2 linked regions of the Stegostoma tigrinum genome follow. The protein of the gene in region 2 interacts with the protein of the main gene of each other region in a pairwise test. Links are inferred from orthologs where the notes say so. Each region holds a gene or a part of one and is shown on either strand. Other genes may lie near its edges.

Evidence for each region.
Region 1: the proteins of prpf40a (region 2) and ccnl1a interact in binary tests that used the Homo sapiens proteins (3 or more experiments, as listed by UniProt). The link is inferred for Stegostoma tigrinum from reciprocal best matches to the Homo sapiens genes PRPF40A and CCNL1.

What each region holds. Positions count from the first base shown.
Region 1 is NC_081367.1:32,459,348-32,468,323, reverse strand, and holds the start of ccnl1a (cyclin-L1a), read right to left. Parts: upstream 3,356-8,976; 5' UTR 3,351-3,355; coding exon 3,147-3,350; intron 3,011-3,146; coding exon 2,936-3,010; intron 1,713-2,935; coding exon 1,603-1,712; intron 1-1,602. UniProt on the Homo sapiens protein: Involved in pre-mRNA splicing. Functions in association with cyclin-dependent kinases (CDKs). Inhibited by the CDK-specific inhibitor CDKN1A/p21. May play a role in the regulation of RNA polymerase II (pol II).
Region 2 is NC_081360.1:54,268,390-54,276,699, forward strand, and holds the start of prpf40a (pre-mRNA-processing factor 40 homolog A), read right to left. Parts: upstream 3,883-8,310; 5' UTR 3,781-3,882; coding exon 3,778-3,780; intron 1-3,777. Other genes in the region: arl6ip6 (ADP-ribosylation factor-like protein 6-interacting protein 6), read left to right, coding at 4,445-4,751, 4,852-4,905, 4,999-5,131.

The sequences.
Region 1 (8,976 bases), on a different chromosome or scaffold from region 2:
ATACACAGTGACATAACAGGCTTAGAATTTAAACTTCCAATCACTTTCAATTTCAACTATGCAAGAAACATGTTCCATTTTCCCATTTACACATTTCTATGGAATTAAAAGTTACTAGCTTCAATTAATCAGATATACAAATTCCAACAATGCAGTATTTCTTAGAACTCTTTGCACCTTAGAAAATCAACATTTGTAACTTATTTCTTGTTTTTCTACTACATGTTCATATAGTGGTAATGTAATGAGCAGTTTTAAATAGATTCAGGTCTAACACCGCTCTTCACCCAGACTCATACTGCCAATTTTTTAGTTATGTGTTCCTTGTGTCGGAGTCTCCAGGCTGCCTTCCTCCAAGGTGGGAAACAGCATCAAAATATTGCAGAAGTCATGAACACTTCAATGAGATCCAGAATGTTATCATGGTGTAGAGCTGGATGAACACAGCAGGCCAAGCAGCAGAGCAGAAAAGTTGACGTTTCAGGCTGAGCTGCTTCTTCAGAAATGGTCTAGGCCCGAAATGTCAGCTTTCCTGCCCCTCTAATACTGCTTGGCCTGCTGTGTTCATCCAGCTCTACACCTTGTCATCTCAGATTCTCCAGCATCTGCAGTTCCTACTATCCCAAAAGATTATCAGTTCGTTTTACTCAAATTCCTTTCATCTATTTGGTCAATTCTCAAACTTCCACACTTCAATTAGCAATTTTGCAAGCTAAGTGAAGGTACCTTTATATCAGCTGTTTCAGCCTCAGTTACAAAAGAAACCAATGTGTGTCTGCTCCCTCCTTGCACTTACATGGTTATAACAAAACTCAAAGTCCCAGTGCCAGAGCCCATACTTTAGACTGAGAACTTGATACTATACAAGAAGAGTGCAATCTTCAGAAGGAAACCCAGTCTCCTTCCAACAGCAACACTCCTATATAGTACTAAAAGCAATTATACTGGATCACAACAGAACAAAGTTAATTAACAATGATACATCATTCTTGGTCGACCTTATTTCAGAATATTATGGCAAAGGAGAAATATTCCCTAACTTAATCTGATGTTCAACAGCTATGAATTTAACATGCAGTATGACAAAAATGTATTATGACTTCCTACCTTAGCGCTAATTAATGTTTTATTCCCAATCTAACTTACAGAATTTCCTTTCACCAGACAATCCATTGTTATTTTTGTTTTGAGTTCATGTTCGCTCCAATGTGCTCAAGGATTACAACCCACTAAGTAGAGATTTATGTAAGAAATCACTTGCACTACACAAGTCACCATTTGTCTTCCACAGCTTAGGGTAGAAGCATTAGCAGGCTACTTGATCACAAACTTTATGCCAGCCCCAAGAATATTCCAGCAGGAATAACTGGGCAGTAATACATTCTTCCTGTTCATCCTTCCCCAAAATTTGCCACTGTGACCGAGTATAGCAGTGTTACACGGACTATGCTGATCAGTATGCCTCACAACAGCACTGTTTTCCTCAATTGGTCAACAGTGAAGATCAGATACAAATGATTAAGAGGAACCCTGAAAGCTTGGTAAAGTTAAGGAATTTTTTTTGAATATTAAGAAACACTGGATTTGAAGAGAAGGGCTTACCTTTTGCCTCTTAGCTGGCGCAAATGATGAAATACATTTATCACATCTCTCACACGACGAGGTGCTTCCTCTATTTTGGATGCAAGATTGATACAAGCCATTGCAACAATCTGTAAAAAGAATCATTTTGATTATGAGCTAATTGGCTAAAATATTAACTCCACAAACAGTGGATTACTTTGCAGTAAAAACATATCACTTAAAACAATCCTTTTAGGCTCGCTTTCAAAGGCAAATTGATATTTAGGCATCCAGAGATCAACTTGCACCTTATGTTCTCTTCACAACCTAAGGCAATATTAACCTTTTTCTTAAAGCAAAACATGACACAAGATGTTTAATACCAAAGCATGAGGGACAACCCAAAGTTTGAAGGATCACTAACGAAAAGTAGCATTGTGTAGGAGTGAAGCTAAAGCAAGGTTAGAAGTCACAGTACAATGTACAAAGATTTGCTTAAACTCTACACCACAAAACTACATGTTTGAGGAAGTTTGAGGAAGGAACCCTGCTGGAACTAGTGCTTACATCAGAAGATTGAAGAATAAATTATTCTCCTTCAACATAGACAAACGTTTCCACTGCCTACATTTGAGGTTTATGAATAAAATGTAGTTTGAGGATCAATGATTACAGCAGAGGTCATTAGTTCACTAACAGCCGTTCAAATTGTCTGACACCCCTGAGGGTTACCACTGGCGTAAGAATTTAATCTACGCTTGTTACTCAATTCCCCCTTTCTGTTCTATTCCATACATGGTGTCCAAAAGACAATCTGCGACATGCAAGCATGTGATCAGAAACACCACGTCACAAATTGTGCTGGAACTTTTAAACTCAGTGAAACCCATTCCCAGTAACTAATGTAAAGATCAACTGAAAAACCGCATAAAAAACAGTAATCTATCAGACAAAACACTAAGGTTATGTAACCAAGGCAATGAAGAGTTAAAACAAATCAGCGCCATCAAATTTAGCTCCATCTCAAACAGCCACTTACGTTTACCACAAGAGATACAGAATCTGAAACGTGAGACCCATTTCACTTCAAACCTAATCTAACGCCAAGAATCCAACACCACACGTTTTCGGGGTACGTTTAAAAGTTGAAATTGCGATCCTCACACTACCTCCACGTTAGGGGAAGATGCCTCATTTACCGCACCCCCACCCTGAAACCGTGGATCACTTCCATTTTGGATAAACGACTCCACCCGGCCTCCATTTCCTGGGCTAAAACGATCGAATTCAAACCACCCAGAAAGCGGAACAGATCGGCCCAAAGGTTCCCCCACCCCCACTTGACGCCGAGCCGCCCGCCCATGGGACTCACCTCGAAACTGTGTTTGACGAAGGACTTGGAGAAGAAGAACCGCTGAAAGAGAACCTGAGCTGTCGCCATGGCCACCTGCCGGGGGGGGGGTGGGGGGGGGAAGAGAAGAGAAAGAAAGGACACAGAAAACAGAGCGTCAGCGACTGGAGACGAGGATAAGGCGCGGCCTTCGCGTCGCGGCCCGAGCCGGAGCCCGCCAAGATCCACCCACCTGCGGTAAACGCAGCAGGATCCCGGCCGACTGGATCAGTTCACAGCCCAGGATCCGCAGGTCGGTCTCCACCTCCAGGTCCAGGCCATCCTGCATGGATGGTGTGGGTGAGAGCTTCTCCTCGGGGATGAGGGAGTTGTCGATAGTCAGGAAGACAGCCGAATAAACCTTGTCTCCGATCAGAATGCCCTCGCCCGCCGCCATCTTGTCTTGAAACAAAAAATAAAATGGGGAAAAGGAAGGAGCAGGCGCAGAGCGCGGCGCCTAACCCCACGGGACAACGCGTTGTATCAACACGCCTCAGAATATAGATCCGCCCCAAACACAACCAAAACCGGCAAGGGAAACGCCTTGAAATCTACCTGGGAGGTGCCCAAATCCCGGGATCACGCTTTCGAATTGTTCCGTGATTAACAAACTCCGACTGCGTGAGATGACACTCCGGGTTTCGCAACAGTGACGGGGAAATGCCGTGACGTAATTTCTGGGAAGTCTCTCGGCGCTTCACCACTGCGGAACGAGCGAGGCCCGGAACCTGTTTTGCCGGCGCGCGCATCGGAGCTGACGTCAGTCACACCCTCTCCATTGTGACGCAGTTAGTCGCTGCCTATTGGCTGGCGCACCGTGATGTTTTCATGGAATCCAGAGACTATTTCTGCGGCAAGGTGTTGTTTCATTGAAACTGCATGTTCCTTTGGGTGAACGTACAGAAAGGCAGCCACAGTCACTAAAAACAAGATCACGTACTGTACAGTGTTAACAGTGCTTTAATTCATTTATTCCTGTATTTAATCCTTATCAATGAATACTTTCAGATCAAAACTGAGACCAATAGAATGCAAGAGCCATTGCAAGTCTTCGTGGGGTACTTATTTGATTGATTTGGCTTTCACCAAGTAAAAGAATGCCAATCTGTTGGAAACACTGAAGGAGTCAGGCAACATCTGTACATAATCTGTTCCTTCAGACACCCAGCGCAGAAGCAGTAGTCAAATCAGACACCAATCCCGTGGGCCTTTTATGTGAGGGTTGCCTAAGGTGTCCATCCCCAAGCCAAGGTTTGGTATAGCCATGGGGGAAGCAAATTTTGCCTGCCTGCCTCACTTTTGCAGCTTAGTCGGTACCCTGTGAAGAAGAACACACCAGTACCTGGCACCAATTTCCAGCATAGCAGCTTCCTGACACCTAGAACAAATCAATTACACACTTGATTCAACAATGTTAAAATCTCAAAGTTCTCATATTTCAGCATTGGAATGGTCTGCTTCCACTGAACACTCTGGGAAAAGAGTTTATCACATTAGATTAAAATTTATGTTTTTCTTGTCTCTACTGGTTTGTCACAAGAGGAGTTGGACCAGTATTTATCATTTTCCAGTTTTACTGGTTTTTCCTCTGGGTAGGATCAAACAATCTAAATTATGAAGACCGACTGGTAAAACCTCAGCAATTAAATTTAAAAATATTCTTGTTTAATCTATTCCATTGTCATAGATACTTTCATATCTCTATATTACTAGCTGTCAATCACTTTTTCAGATTGAAATGTGCAGTTTTATCATTTCTCTCTTCATAAGAGAGACTGTTTGAATCCACCCAGAAGGGGAACAAAAAAAAACACAGCTGGGGAATGAGACATACTGGTCCAACTCACCTTGTACACTTAAAAATGGAGGACCAATACAATTATGCTGTAAATATTAGTATAATTAATTGGTTTGCCCCTTGGTAGGGATCAGCTTTGTGGTTCTACACACCTGTAGGGGCTTGAATTCTCCCCTTTGTCCTCTGCAACACAGCTGGATGGCAAAATAAGAAATTGATCTTAAATAACAATTTAAGTGTAATAAAGCATCATTATTAATTTCACAGGTTTTCTCTTCACTCCAAGGGGGTGACGTTGTAGCCATTTTGCCTTAAATAAAATGTGTAGAACGGAAACAGCAGTAGGCCAAACTCCTCTCCAAAAACAAAGCCATATCACAACATAGAACCTCCTCCAAAAAGCTGTAAATTAGGAATTCGCTCTTAAAAGCAACCTCAAGTAGTATCTAATTATCAGTGTATTACATAGACTATTTCATACATAGAATCCCTACAATGTGGAAACAAGCCCTTCATCCCAACAAGTCCACACTGACCCTCAGAGCATCTCACCCAGACCCATCCCCCTATGGCCCACCTAATCTACAAATCCCAGAACACTATGGGCAATTTAACATGCCAATCCACCTATGATTTTAAAATTTTCAAAAGCTTCCATAGGAAATTAATGATATGTATAGTTACTAAGAGTGTTGTGACATTAGGACTGAAGAGGTAGATCATTTGAAAGTGACAATACTAGGCTTTTTTTTGCACTTGTTTCCTAATCATATACCCAGTATTGGCCATTTTCGCAGTGGGGGTGGGGGGAGAAGAAACACTGTGGCTGAATTCAACCTACAGAGGTGGATAGAGCTTTGTCAACAATATGTTGAGATGGTCAACAGGCCTTTTCCAGTCTATTTCCAGTCAGTGCACTCAAGGACAGATCAACAGCCTCAAGATGAGAACCCAGAAGCAGGCTGGGTAGCTTCTCCAGAGAGCTACACAGGCCCTACTTTGCTTAGAATCAGAGTTGTACGACACAAACGGATCCTTTGGTTCAACTCACCCATGCCGACCAGATATCCCAAATTAGTCTAGTCCTATATCCCTCTAAACCCTTCCTATTCATATCCTCATCCAGAGGCCTTTTATGTTGTCATTGTAGCAGGCTCTACCACTTCCTCCAGCAGTCCATTGCATACACAAACCACCCTCTACATGAAAAAGTAGCCCCTTAGGTCCCTTTTAACATCTTTCCTCTCTCACCTTCAGCCTATGCCCTCTACGTTTGGACCCCCACACCCAGGGAAAAGACCTTGTGAATTCAGCCCATTCCATGCCCTCACACCCCATGATTTTATAAACTTTTATAACATCACCCGTCAGCCTGCAATGCTCCAGGGAAGATAGCCACAGACTATTCAGCTTCTTCCCTATAGTGAAAAAGCTCCAAACCTGGCAACATCCTTGTAAATCTTTTCTGAATCATTTCAGGTTTAACAACATTCTTTCCTGTAGCAGGGAGACTAGAACTGAATGCAGAACTACAGAAATGGCCTAAATGGCCTGCACAGCTGCAACATGACCTCCAAACTTCTGTACACAATACACTGATCAATAAAGGCAAGTGCACCACCAAACATCATCACCACCCTATACCTACAACTCCACTTTCGTGACGGTGACAGTGACAGTGACATGCTTTTACACAGTGTCTGAGAGGACACTGCCTTACTCAACCTCCCTCACCGTCATTTATCTACTACTGCAACTGGGTGCACCTGTGAAGCTAGAAGAACTTTCATTGGTCCTCCAGCTCTCATAACACCGTCACTTCCTTTCATTGAATGGGAAGCCTGTTCCATACCTATTAAGGGCCCACGTAGCAATCTTAATTTCAATCAGTATCCTATCACAGGCAGGTTTGGGAATGAAAGCAGTCCAGGTGACACCTGTTTTGCATCTCTGTTGGGAATATTCAACTGACAATTTCTGTAAATATTCTGATCTCTTTAGACACAGCCTCTCAATCCATGGATTAAGCCAAGAATTATTACTTTTGCCAGATGACAAAAACCCAGCTGAGACCAGCATCAAAGACTCTGAATTTCAGGAATATAATCAGATAAAAGAGATCAACACTGAGCCATAGAAGGAGATATTGAAACAGGTAATGGCAAAGTCACCATAGTGCCAGAGGAGATGGTGATGCTGTCATTAAAGGGAGACAACTGGCAATGAGTGTGAACTGGGGGTCGCCACACCTCAGGCAAGGTTGACAAGGCAGCACATTCATGGCAACCTCAACTAGCAAAGGAATTGCACCCATACTGTTAGCATCACTCTGTAAGCCAGCTGTCCCCTCCACTGTCGGCATTTTGTAGAGACCATTCGTTGTGTGACACCCTGGTCCATTCCTCCATCATTTCTTCAATCCTCATTGTACCTTTCCATACACAGGCAGAATTGTAACAGTTGCCCAGTCACTTCCTCCTTCCTCACTGTCCAAGGCCACAAACACATCCAGATAAAGCAGTATTACCCTGGTACCTCTTTACGATGTAGTCTCCTGCTGCTCCTACTGCGTTCTCTGCTCACAATGCAGTCTCATTTATGCTGGTGAAACAAAATGCAGATTAAGTGACCACATTGTGGAACAATTCTGCTCTGTCCCTAGGAATAACCCTGAACTCCTGAGTGCTTGCTACTTTAATAAACCAACTTGTATACATGCTAATGTGTCCGTGGACTGCAGTGGTTCAAGAAGGCAGCACATCACCCACCACCTTCTGAAGGGCAACTTGGGATGGCCAATAAATGCTGGCCAGCCAGTGACACCCTCATCCCATGAGCAAACTTTGTTTATTAAACCCTTCTGTCTTGGGCTTGACGATAAATCCAAGGGTGGGGAGATGTCGTCTTGCTAGGAACTACAGGCTGGCAATTTGGGAAGATGATGGGCCCTGTGGCAGGTTGGGGAAGATGCGGTGTCCGTAAGTGTCAGGCTGAGAGAGGAGAGCATCAGAGTACCAGTGATGCTTGTGGGATCTGGAGAATGATCAGGCCAGCAGGTTGTGGAAGGTGTCATAAGGAAAGGTATTGGGACTAAAATGCCAGACCTAGGGTGAGGGAGTGTCCGGTCCAAGGGGTTTGGTCTCATGTCCAGGGAATCAGGCTGGCGAGTTGGGGATGTGGTGGCAGATCCAAAAGGGAGTTATTGTTTTGGGGGAAACAGGTCAGTAGCTGAGGTCCTGGGTATGGTAGAGGATCATGTCAGTTGGTGGTGTTTAGTTGTAGGAGTGGTTGGGTGGGTGGGAGGGCTGGTGGTTCAGAGGTTTGGGTGTGTAAGAGGTTTCAGGGTAGTAATCAGGGTGTAAATGGTGAATTTGACATTTAGTTTAATATTTATGCAAGAGTTAGGATGGGTTTTGATCCTCTAACATATCCTAGCTGGAAGATGTAAAATTCTGACCTAAATAGACTCTCTTAGAGGGTTCCAGGTACGGAGTAAATGCCTGTCAGGATCTTCAATTACCCAGACAATTCAAATAGCATCTACTGTGTCTAAGGTTCTGCATGTTCCTAATGAATAATTCCAGTCCTTACCGCTGAAATAATTCTAGCTATTAGAGTACTGTCTTCCCCTCTTGTGTCCCTCTGCTTGCCCCCGTTGAATTTCATCTGCCATTGGTCTGTCGATTTTTTTTCTTTTCTTTTCTTTTTTTTCCTACAGCACCTGTGTTGTGTATATGTATGTATGTGTGTGTGTAATTCCAGTAACTCAGTGAAGAAACCATGTGCAAAAACTTCATTAATATTTCCACCACCAGGAAGACAACTATGTGCCCAGTGAACCAGTAACGAGTTGACCTGTCCATATACACATTTACACAATTACCAAATTAATTCCATAATATGTGTTCTTCGTTGCAATTCCACATGTACAGTGTGATTTTAAAATAGGCTGATTGCCTTGACTTTGTGAATAAAGATTACTGACATCAATTATAAATAACAATAATCTTGACGTCAATTCCTGAGACATTCGACTTCAGACCATCCCACCAACATTTGGTTCTTAGCGTTGATTAGATTGCTTCACACATAGTGAGAGGGAGATTAATGTGTCTGTAACTGTTCATTTATCTTTCCACCCTTTTGCAGTTTCCCTAATAAACCACTCCAGCATCCAATGCGAATGCACCAGAATAGGCTTGATGGGCCAAATGGCCTCACTCCG
Region 2 (8,310 bases):
CAAGTTGGGAGAGACAGCAAAAAGGCCTGTCAGGAGAAACCAACAATAGAAGAACCAAGCCAGGTCAGTGGTCAAACAGCTGGTAAAACGATGAAAATGTTACGCATTGTTACCTATTGCAAGGTAACTGTGGATCCAAGAAAAACAAGTCTGAATATTTTCTGCAAGTTGATAAACTAGGGACTGTGGAGGAGCAGCAATTTAAGAATCCAAATACTGTAATTGCAAGTATTAATACAGAATGGGCCTTCTGGAGGAGGCTGGAATGCAAGGCAAGTAAGTTATCGGTCAGTCTTTCGTTATAAAGGAAGCCCCAATACGAGAAATCAACTTAGCAAGTCACTTCTGAACTGCCTCCACTGTCGGTACATACTCCTTCAAGAGGGATCTTATGGCAGAGATGTAGTGCCCTTATCTCTAAGCCAGGAGGCCCAGGTTCAAGTCTCACCTGGTCGCCAAGTGTGTAACAACATCCCTAAACAGGTTGTTTAGAAAATATCTACACCCAATGCAAGAAATCAAAACTATTGCTGCTCTCCAAGTTTGGACTCACCATAGACCAGCACTGTTGTATTAAGACTTCCCTGCTTTCACACAACTCCCTCGCAAGAAGCATTAATATTCCATTTGCCTTTCGAATTACTTATAGGGCTTGCCTAACGTTTTCTGATTGATGGACAAGAGGACCCATGTCCTTACTTTGGGCATATAACTGCTGGCGATCTGGATAAGTGATTTCGTTAAAACATTTAAGATTCTAAAGGGACTCTATACTGAAGGGTAGATTTTGAAAAGATGTTTTCCCCTCTTGAGCAATATATAGCTGGAGGTCAGGATTTCTAAGTAAGTTCATTCCCATAAGACAGAGATGAGGATTATTTTTTATCCTGTACCAGAGGATTATGAATCCTTGGAATTCTCCATCCCAAGCAGCAGGGGCATTTGGCTATTTTAGGCTACGTTAGACAGGTTTTACACAAAGACGACAAAATTTGAAACTCTCCTCAAAGATTTTTGGCTGTTATAACAATTAGAGCTGAGCACTGGATATGGATTTCTATTTAATAAGGCTATAATGGGATATGCAGCAAGTGCTGAAATGCAGGCACAAATCTGAGGCTAACAGTGCTACCGTCTGCTCTTCAAGACATCCCAAAGTGCTTTATAGCCGATTAATAACAAGAAATGTAATCACGTTTTAATATAGAAAAATATGGCTGCCATTTTTCCCATAGCAAGGTCAAATTAACAGTAAAATTACAGCAATCAGATTTGTAGTGATGTTGTTGAAGAAATGAATGCTGGCCACGACATTGCTGTTCTTCAAACATTTCCACTGAAGTGTTTACATTCATTTGATGTGTCCAATAACGAATGCAGAGAATCAGAAGATTTTTGGGGCTTTGACAGTTACTACGAAGAAGTCACTGAGTAATTACAAACTAGCTAATGGGTTCCCAAAGCATTAATTTAGGTCATTCATTAATGTGGATAACTTCCTGTTATAACATGTTGAATCATCTCCACCACTGTACCAAGAAATCAAAAACAATATTATTATTTAAGAATGAACTGCATGTTGCAATGAGAAAATTTCAGATCTATTCTGATTGGATGGTTCACTAAATGGCCTTCCTGCTCTGTGTACCCTTGAAACAGACAGTGCATAAATGCACTCAGGAGCTTCATATTTGCACAGCCTGCCTTGCATTTATATACTTAAAAGAAATATTGACCGTGCACTGCAGCAAAATATTGGACAATATCTTAACAGTTCTGGTTGTTTCATTGGGCTGATTAATATAACTATCCAATATGCTGAGGTATGAACATTATGGCATCTTGCCTTTATGTAGCACGTGGGACATTACAAGCAATCTTAAGAACACACAGCAGGCTCAGATAAAAATGAACATCAAGCCAGAGGAAGATATGAGGACAAGAGATTAAACAGTTGGGTTTTGAAAGCAAGAGTGGCAAAGTGATTCACAGTGGGTAGCACTACTGCCTCACAGACCAGAGACCAATTCCACCCTCAGGCAACAACTGTGTGTGGAGTTTGCACACATTCTTTGTGTGTCTGTATCGGTTGCCCCGAATGCTCCGATTTTCTCCCAAGTCCAAAGATTTGCAGGTTAGGTGGATCGGCCATGCTAAATTACCCACAGCGGCCAAGGATGTACAGGGATGGGGTAAAGGGGTGGGTCTGAGTGGGATGTTCTTCAGCAGGTTAGTGTGGACTTGGTGGGCCAAATGGGGGTCTGCTTCAACACTGCGATGGATTAGCCATTGGAAATGCATCTTTTTTTAAAAAGTTCATACAAGGGATGGGGGCATCTCTGACCAGGCAGCATTAATTGCCCATCTAAAATTGCACAGAGGGCAGTTAAGTGTCAACTAAACTGCTGAGAGTCTGGAGACACATGTAGGGACAGACCTGGTAAGGATGCAAGTTTCCTTCCCAAAAGGACATCGGTGAACCAGATGGCTTTTTCCAACAAGTGAAAATAGATTCATGGTCATCATTAGACTCTTAATTCCAGATATTATTGAATTCAAATTCCACCATTTGCCATGGTGGGATTTGAACCCAGGTCTCCAGAACATTATCTGGGTTTCTGGATTAACAGTCCAGTGATAATACCACTAGGCCATCACCTCGCCTTACAGGGATGGGGTAAAGGGTTGAGTCTGAGAAGGATAATAAAATGTGAGGCTGGATGAACACAGCAGGCCAAGCAGCATCTCAGGAGCACATGGTCTGCTTCCACACTGCAGGGATTCTATGAAGTCTTCAAGGCACTGAAAAGGTGAAAAAGCAAAGACCTGTGGAGATAATTCCAAAGTGCTGAGTCCAGGCAGCTGAAAAAGTTGATGTCTATGCTCAGGCAAAGTAAGTGGACTGGCAACAGATAATCATAAACATTCATTTTTCAGGCCTATGTAATGTATCTACCTGCACATTTATGTACAATATTATGTTTTATGCAAATGTATGCCCCAATCATGTTTGTTCAGTACAACAGAATATAAGATGAAGTATGCCTGAAAATTATTTTGCATCAGCAAATCCAATAAAACCATATTCGACTTTTCATTCATTTCATCTTGACAGTAGGTTTATTTCTGCACTTTCAACAAATCAGAACAAATTACTTTTACAATATATTTAATGTGAATTTACCATTGAGCAATCGGGATAGAACAGACCAGTAGAGTTTCCTTTTTCATTATTCTAATATCACCTGGCTTTTTACTCATTTTGAGGGAAGGGCCGGGTACGCCATGTTGTTAAACTGTGTATTTTCATTTATTGCACGACGAACGGCTGGGAACAGATTTTGAATTTCCGCACAAAAATGTAACCCTGATCAACGTAAACCAACTGCGATTTTCACCCTCCCAGCCGATTCGTCCATTCATTCATAATTACACGGAACCGCTTTGATGTTTTTTTAAACTCGGAAGCGCCGCGCTACCCCTTTCCGCCAAGAGGAATGGACACAGCGAGCGATCGGTGAGGCTCCCCCGCGGCCTGCAAAACGCCCCGCCCGCTAACCATCAGGCCATCATCCAGCCGCCTCTCACAACACGCGCCCATCTTGCAGAGGTCGCTGTGCGGCCCAGTCACGGACAGAAAGCCCGGTCGCCGGCGGGGGCAGCAGCTGCCACTCGGGCCTCTCATGGAGCAGGGCTCGGATGAGGCGAACCTCTCCCTCATCGCGGACTCGGCTCCAGTAAAGGGGCGACTCTGTTCATTGCAGTTCCCCCACTCACCATGTTCTCGGCTCCGCTCTAGCGCGGCCCTCACGACCCGCAGTAACAGCGGCGCACGATTCGACTGGCTCAGCCCTGCAATGGGGCAAAGGTCAAAGGTGACAGGATCTGCGTCCCCGACGCGCACTACTGATTGACAGCGCTATTCACCTATCAGACGCAGAGAACTGTCTAACCCCGCCTCTCGAGCTGCTTCACCGTGTTATCAACCAACGAAGTGACGACTATAATCCAGACCCGCCCCTTCGTTCCGAGTGACAGCGCTGTTCGCCAGACAATGTAACAGTTCACCCCGCCTCTTCCCGCAGAATGATGGACAAGTAACCAATCAAGTGCTGGAAATATGTTCCACGCCCCTCGCTTTGAGTGACAGCACTTTTCACCTGTAGACTACGAGGAAAGGACGTTCGTCCCGCCCTTCACCCGGTGTCGGCATTATCACCAATCATGTGCCGCAAAGCGGAACGCCAGTCCCGCCCTCCCCACACTCTTCTTTTGATTGGATAAAGCAGGCGGCCGGGGGTGGGCTCTTTTCACGCTTTCGGTTGGTTCGACAGAGAGTTGGAGAGAGAGGCGGGAAGCAGGTTTCAGGTGGTGGTTCTCTTTCTGTGGGAGACGGAGCCGTGGCTCTGTACTGGTAGTTTTCGGCGGTAGTAGTTACTGCTCGATGCCGCGGTACTTGAAGCGGAGCGGGATGTCCGCTCTGCCCGAAGGCCTGTGGCCAGACGGTGGGGAGCTGATAGTCTGTGAATCGGACGTCGATTCGCCTGGCGTTCGTTCACAGACAGATTCCGCGAAGGAGGCCGTGGTCCTACCGAGTCACAGGACGAGGCCAAACCGGGCACTGGTGCCGACTGCCTATAGTGACTGCCGGAGTAAGAAGTGGCCGGCCCGGCTGTGCTCAATGCTGTGTTGTATCATCGTGATATCGTTCATTGCCTTTCTTCTAGCGGTTATGTACTTAATCCTCAAAGGTACTGATGTTCATCAGTTGATTTCTTGAGGAAGCTTTAAAACTTTGTTAAGCATTGAACTTTGAACTTTGGTTTAAAATAACCTGAATTACGATTGCAGATTTGCGCTGGGATAGAGAAAACAGTGAGGATGGTGTTAAAACCGGTATTTTAGGTAACGTATCCTTTTGAAGTTGGCACTTTGGTTTAAATGTACTAGCCCCTCCCCCTTTTTCTTGTCACTTTTTAACAACTTTCTTTTTTTCAGGCCTTTGGAGTGCGTTGATTTTGGCTTTGACGGCTGGTTTCTCATGTTGCAGTTTCTCATGGACATTGACGTATTTTGATTCATTCGAACCCGGAATGTTTCCACCGACACCCTTGTCACCTGCTCGATTTAGGTAAATTCTGGTTTCTGATATCAAATGGAGCTTTATATTTTCTTAAGGGTAAAATGTCCCAGATGTAAATAATATGCACATGAGACAGTTGAGGATAAATAGAGTCAGAACGTACTTGGTAATCTGAAAACCCTGGTAATTTTGCAGTTTTCCCACCCTCTCTGACCTAAGTGTTTGTTTGTCTCCTGTACACGTGTGTTTACTGAACTAGGTTGATATCATGTTTGATCCTGAACTCGGCTTTTCATTGTCTCAGTTTATATCAAGGCTATATATTGCTGTGTCTTAGACGGCTACGCTCGGCCTTGTCTTGTTCCATTCCCAACTTACTTCACACTCCTCAATTCACCATTTCCGGGCTGAATCCCCTACTTGCAAGTTACCCATGGACTTTCATTTGCAAAGTTGAATCCTCTCTCAAATTGAGACATCACCCTTATTGCATGCAATTGGCTACTTTCCCCCAAAATGTTGACTTGAAAGTTCTTGTCTATGTGTACAAATCTTTGTGTTCTTGACTTATTCTGACCCCAAGGATAGCTGTACATGCCAAACTTTATTGTCCTCCCCGTCCTCCCCCTCCTCCCCCTCCTCCTCCTGTCTTTGAACAGTTGTCTGGGACCAACTATCTTGGATTTCCTGAATGACTTCCTTTGATTCCTTTTATTTCTGTAGCTAAGCTTGCTTCTGTTTGTTGCAATAACTTGTAATATTTAATATTTTTAAGTCTTTTTTTCTGAAGTGCAGTTCACAATGTTGGATGTTTGAAATGTGGCACTGTGGGTAAACCATGTCAGTGCTTATCTACATGAGGATCCATGATTGATGCAAGAAATCTGTCAAATATTAATTTGATTTGCAAGTGCTAGTATCCTGATTGGTAACTCTGGAAAAAATAATTTGCTCCTCAAATAAAACCAAAATGCTGCAGATGTTGGAAACTTGAAATAAAAATGCCTTGGAGAAACCCAGTGGGTGTGGGAGCATCTGTGAAAAGAAAAAGCGAATGTTTCAGTCCAATATGGCTCTTCCTCCTATCTACATATATATTTGAATCTATTACTTGAACAGATCAGAAAATGTGATGAGTGCTTTCTGAGAGAAAATTAATATGCTGAATGTGTATCTGATTTAGTTAATATTTAAACTTTTTAAACTTATGTTCATCTTGATTACTCAATTTCTGGCATGGGGTACATCCAATTATGTTTTTTAAATAAAGTAAGGATGGTACCAGCTCTGTTTTAAAACAAAATAATGATCGTGATGCTAAAGCAAAGGAATCAACCTCACTACAGTTTAAAATGAATGAATACAATGCAGTAGTAATATGCAGAACATGTCATAGGTTCAGAGCATTAATTTAAGTAGAGATGTGGTGGATACCAATGGAGAGAGCAATATTACACGAGTGAAATAATTTCTTAAATCCTGAAATGTCAGGGGCATCTCAGAATTTTTTTACAAATCTGCAGTTTAGACAGCACAGACATTTTTTTTTTTTTGGTTTCCACTTGCTGTTGCCAGAAATCTCATAAGAATTGCTTTGCTCCAGTTCATGTGTGCAGCTCCAAAATTAAAATGGTTGAATAACAAGTGAAGTTACTGTTTTGTGTGTCTAGGGCACACACTGCCCTGCACTTGAGCCAAAAACAAGCTTCACCTGGAAAGACAAACTTACTCTCATTTTCATCGGAAATATGACCTAAATAGCACTGGTAGGTTGTGCTTCCAGGATCTTGTATGAAAGGGCATTCTACAGACAAATATCCACTTGCCTTTGCTTGTATTTTTTAAAAAAGACAAACTATTACCCTCACCTGTCCTGGCCCAAGTTTGTTATTTTGGTGTTCTTTAATATTTCTGTCAGGGACCCGGGTTCGATTCCAGCCTCGGGCAACTGAGTGGAGTTTGCACATTCTCTCCTGTGTTGATTTTTTTCTTCTCGGTTCTCTGGTTTCCTCCCATAATCCAAAAATGCACAAGTTAGGTGGATTGACCATGCTAAATTGCCCCACAGTGGCCAGGGATATGAAGGTTAGATGTGTTAGCCATGAGAAATATTGGGTGGGGAATGGGTCTGTATGTGATGCCTATCAGAAGATTGGTGTGGACTCTTTGGGCCGAACAGCCTATTTCCACACCGTAGAGACTCTATGATGATCTTAACTTGTCAATCAATTAAATTAGATAATCCTGATCAAAATATCTGTTTTGCCTCGATCAGATCTCCTCCAACTTTATTTTCCAATGAAAAGCTTTGCAAATCTGTTGTATAAGTAAATCTCTTCTGCATTGGTTTGCTATGCCTCTTCAAGGCCATAAGATGTAGGAACAGAATTAGGCCATTTGGACCATACAGTCTGTTCCACCGTTCAATCATGTTTGATATGTTTCTCAACACCATTCTCTTGCCTTCCTTTCTTAATCTTTCATGCCCTTGCTAATCAAGAACCTATCTATCTGTCTTAGACACTCAATGACTTGGCCTCCATGGCCCTCTCTGGCAATGACTTCCACATTAACCACCCTCTGGTTGAAGAAATTCCTTCTCCTTTTAGTCCCTTCATTCTGAGGTTATCATCTAATCTCTAGTTGTAGTACTAGTCTCTCCTAGTAGTAGAACCATCTTCTCCATGCCCACTCTATCCAGAGCCCTCATTATTCTGCAAGTTTCAATCAGATCCTACTCTTAGCTTTTTAAACTCCATTGATTACAGACCCAAAGTCCTCAACCACCCTGGGATCTCTGGATCATTTGTAATGCCAGCTCATCCACCCCTTAGATGTGGGGTCCAAACTGCTAAATATTCCAAAACAGCCTGAGCAGCATGTTTTTGCTATTCTATTCTTAACCCTTTTGAAATGAAGGTCAACATAGCATTTGTCTTCTAACTGCCAACTGAACCTGCATGTTAGTTTTGAGATAACAAGGTGCAGAGCTGGATGAACACAGCAGGCCGTGCAGCATCAGCAGAGCAGGAAAGCTGACATTTTGGGCCTATTTCTGAAGAAGATTTTCTGAAGAAGGGTCTGGGACTGAAATGTCAGCTTTCCTGCTCCTCTGATGCTCAGTTGTGTTCATCCAGCTCTGCACCTTGTTATCTTAGATTCTCCATCATCTGCAGTTCCTACTGTCTCTTAGTTTTGAGAATCCTGAATAAAATTCCCAAGTCCCT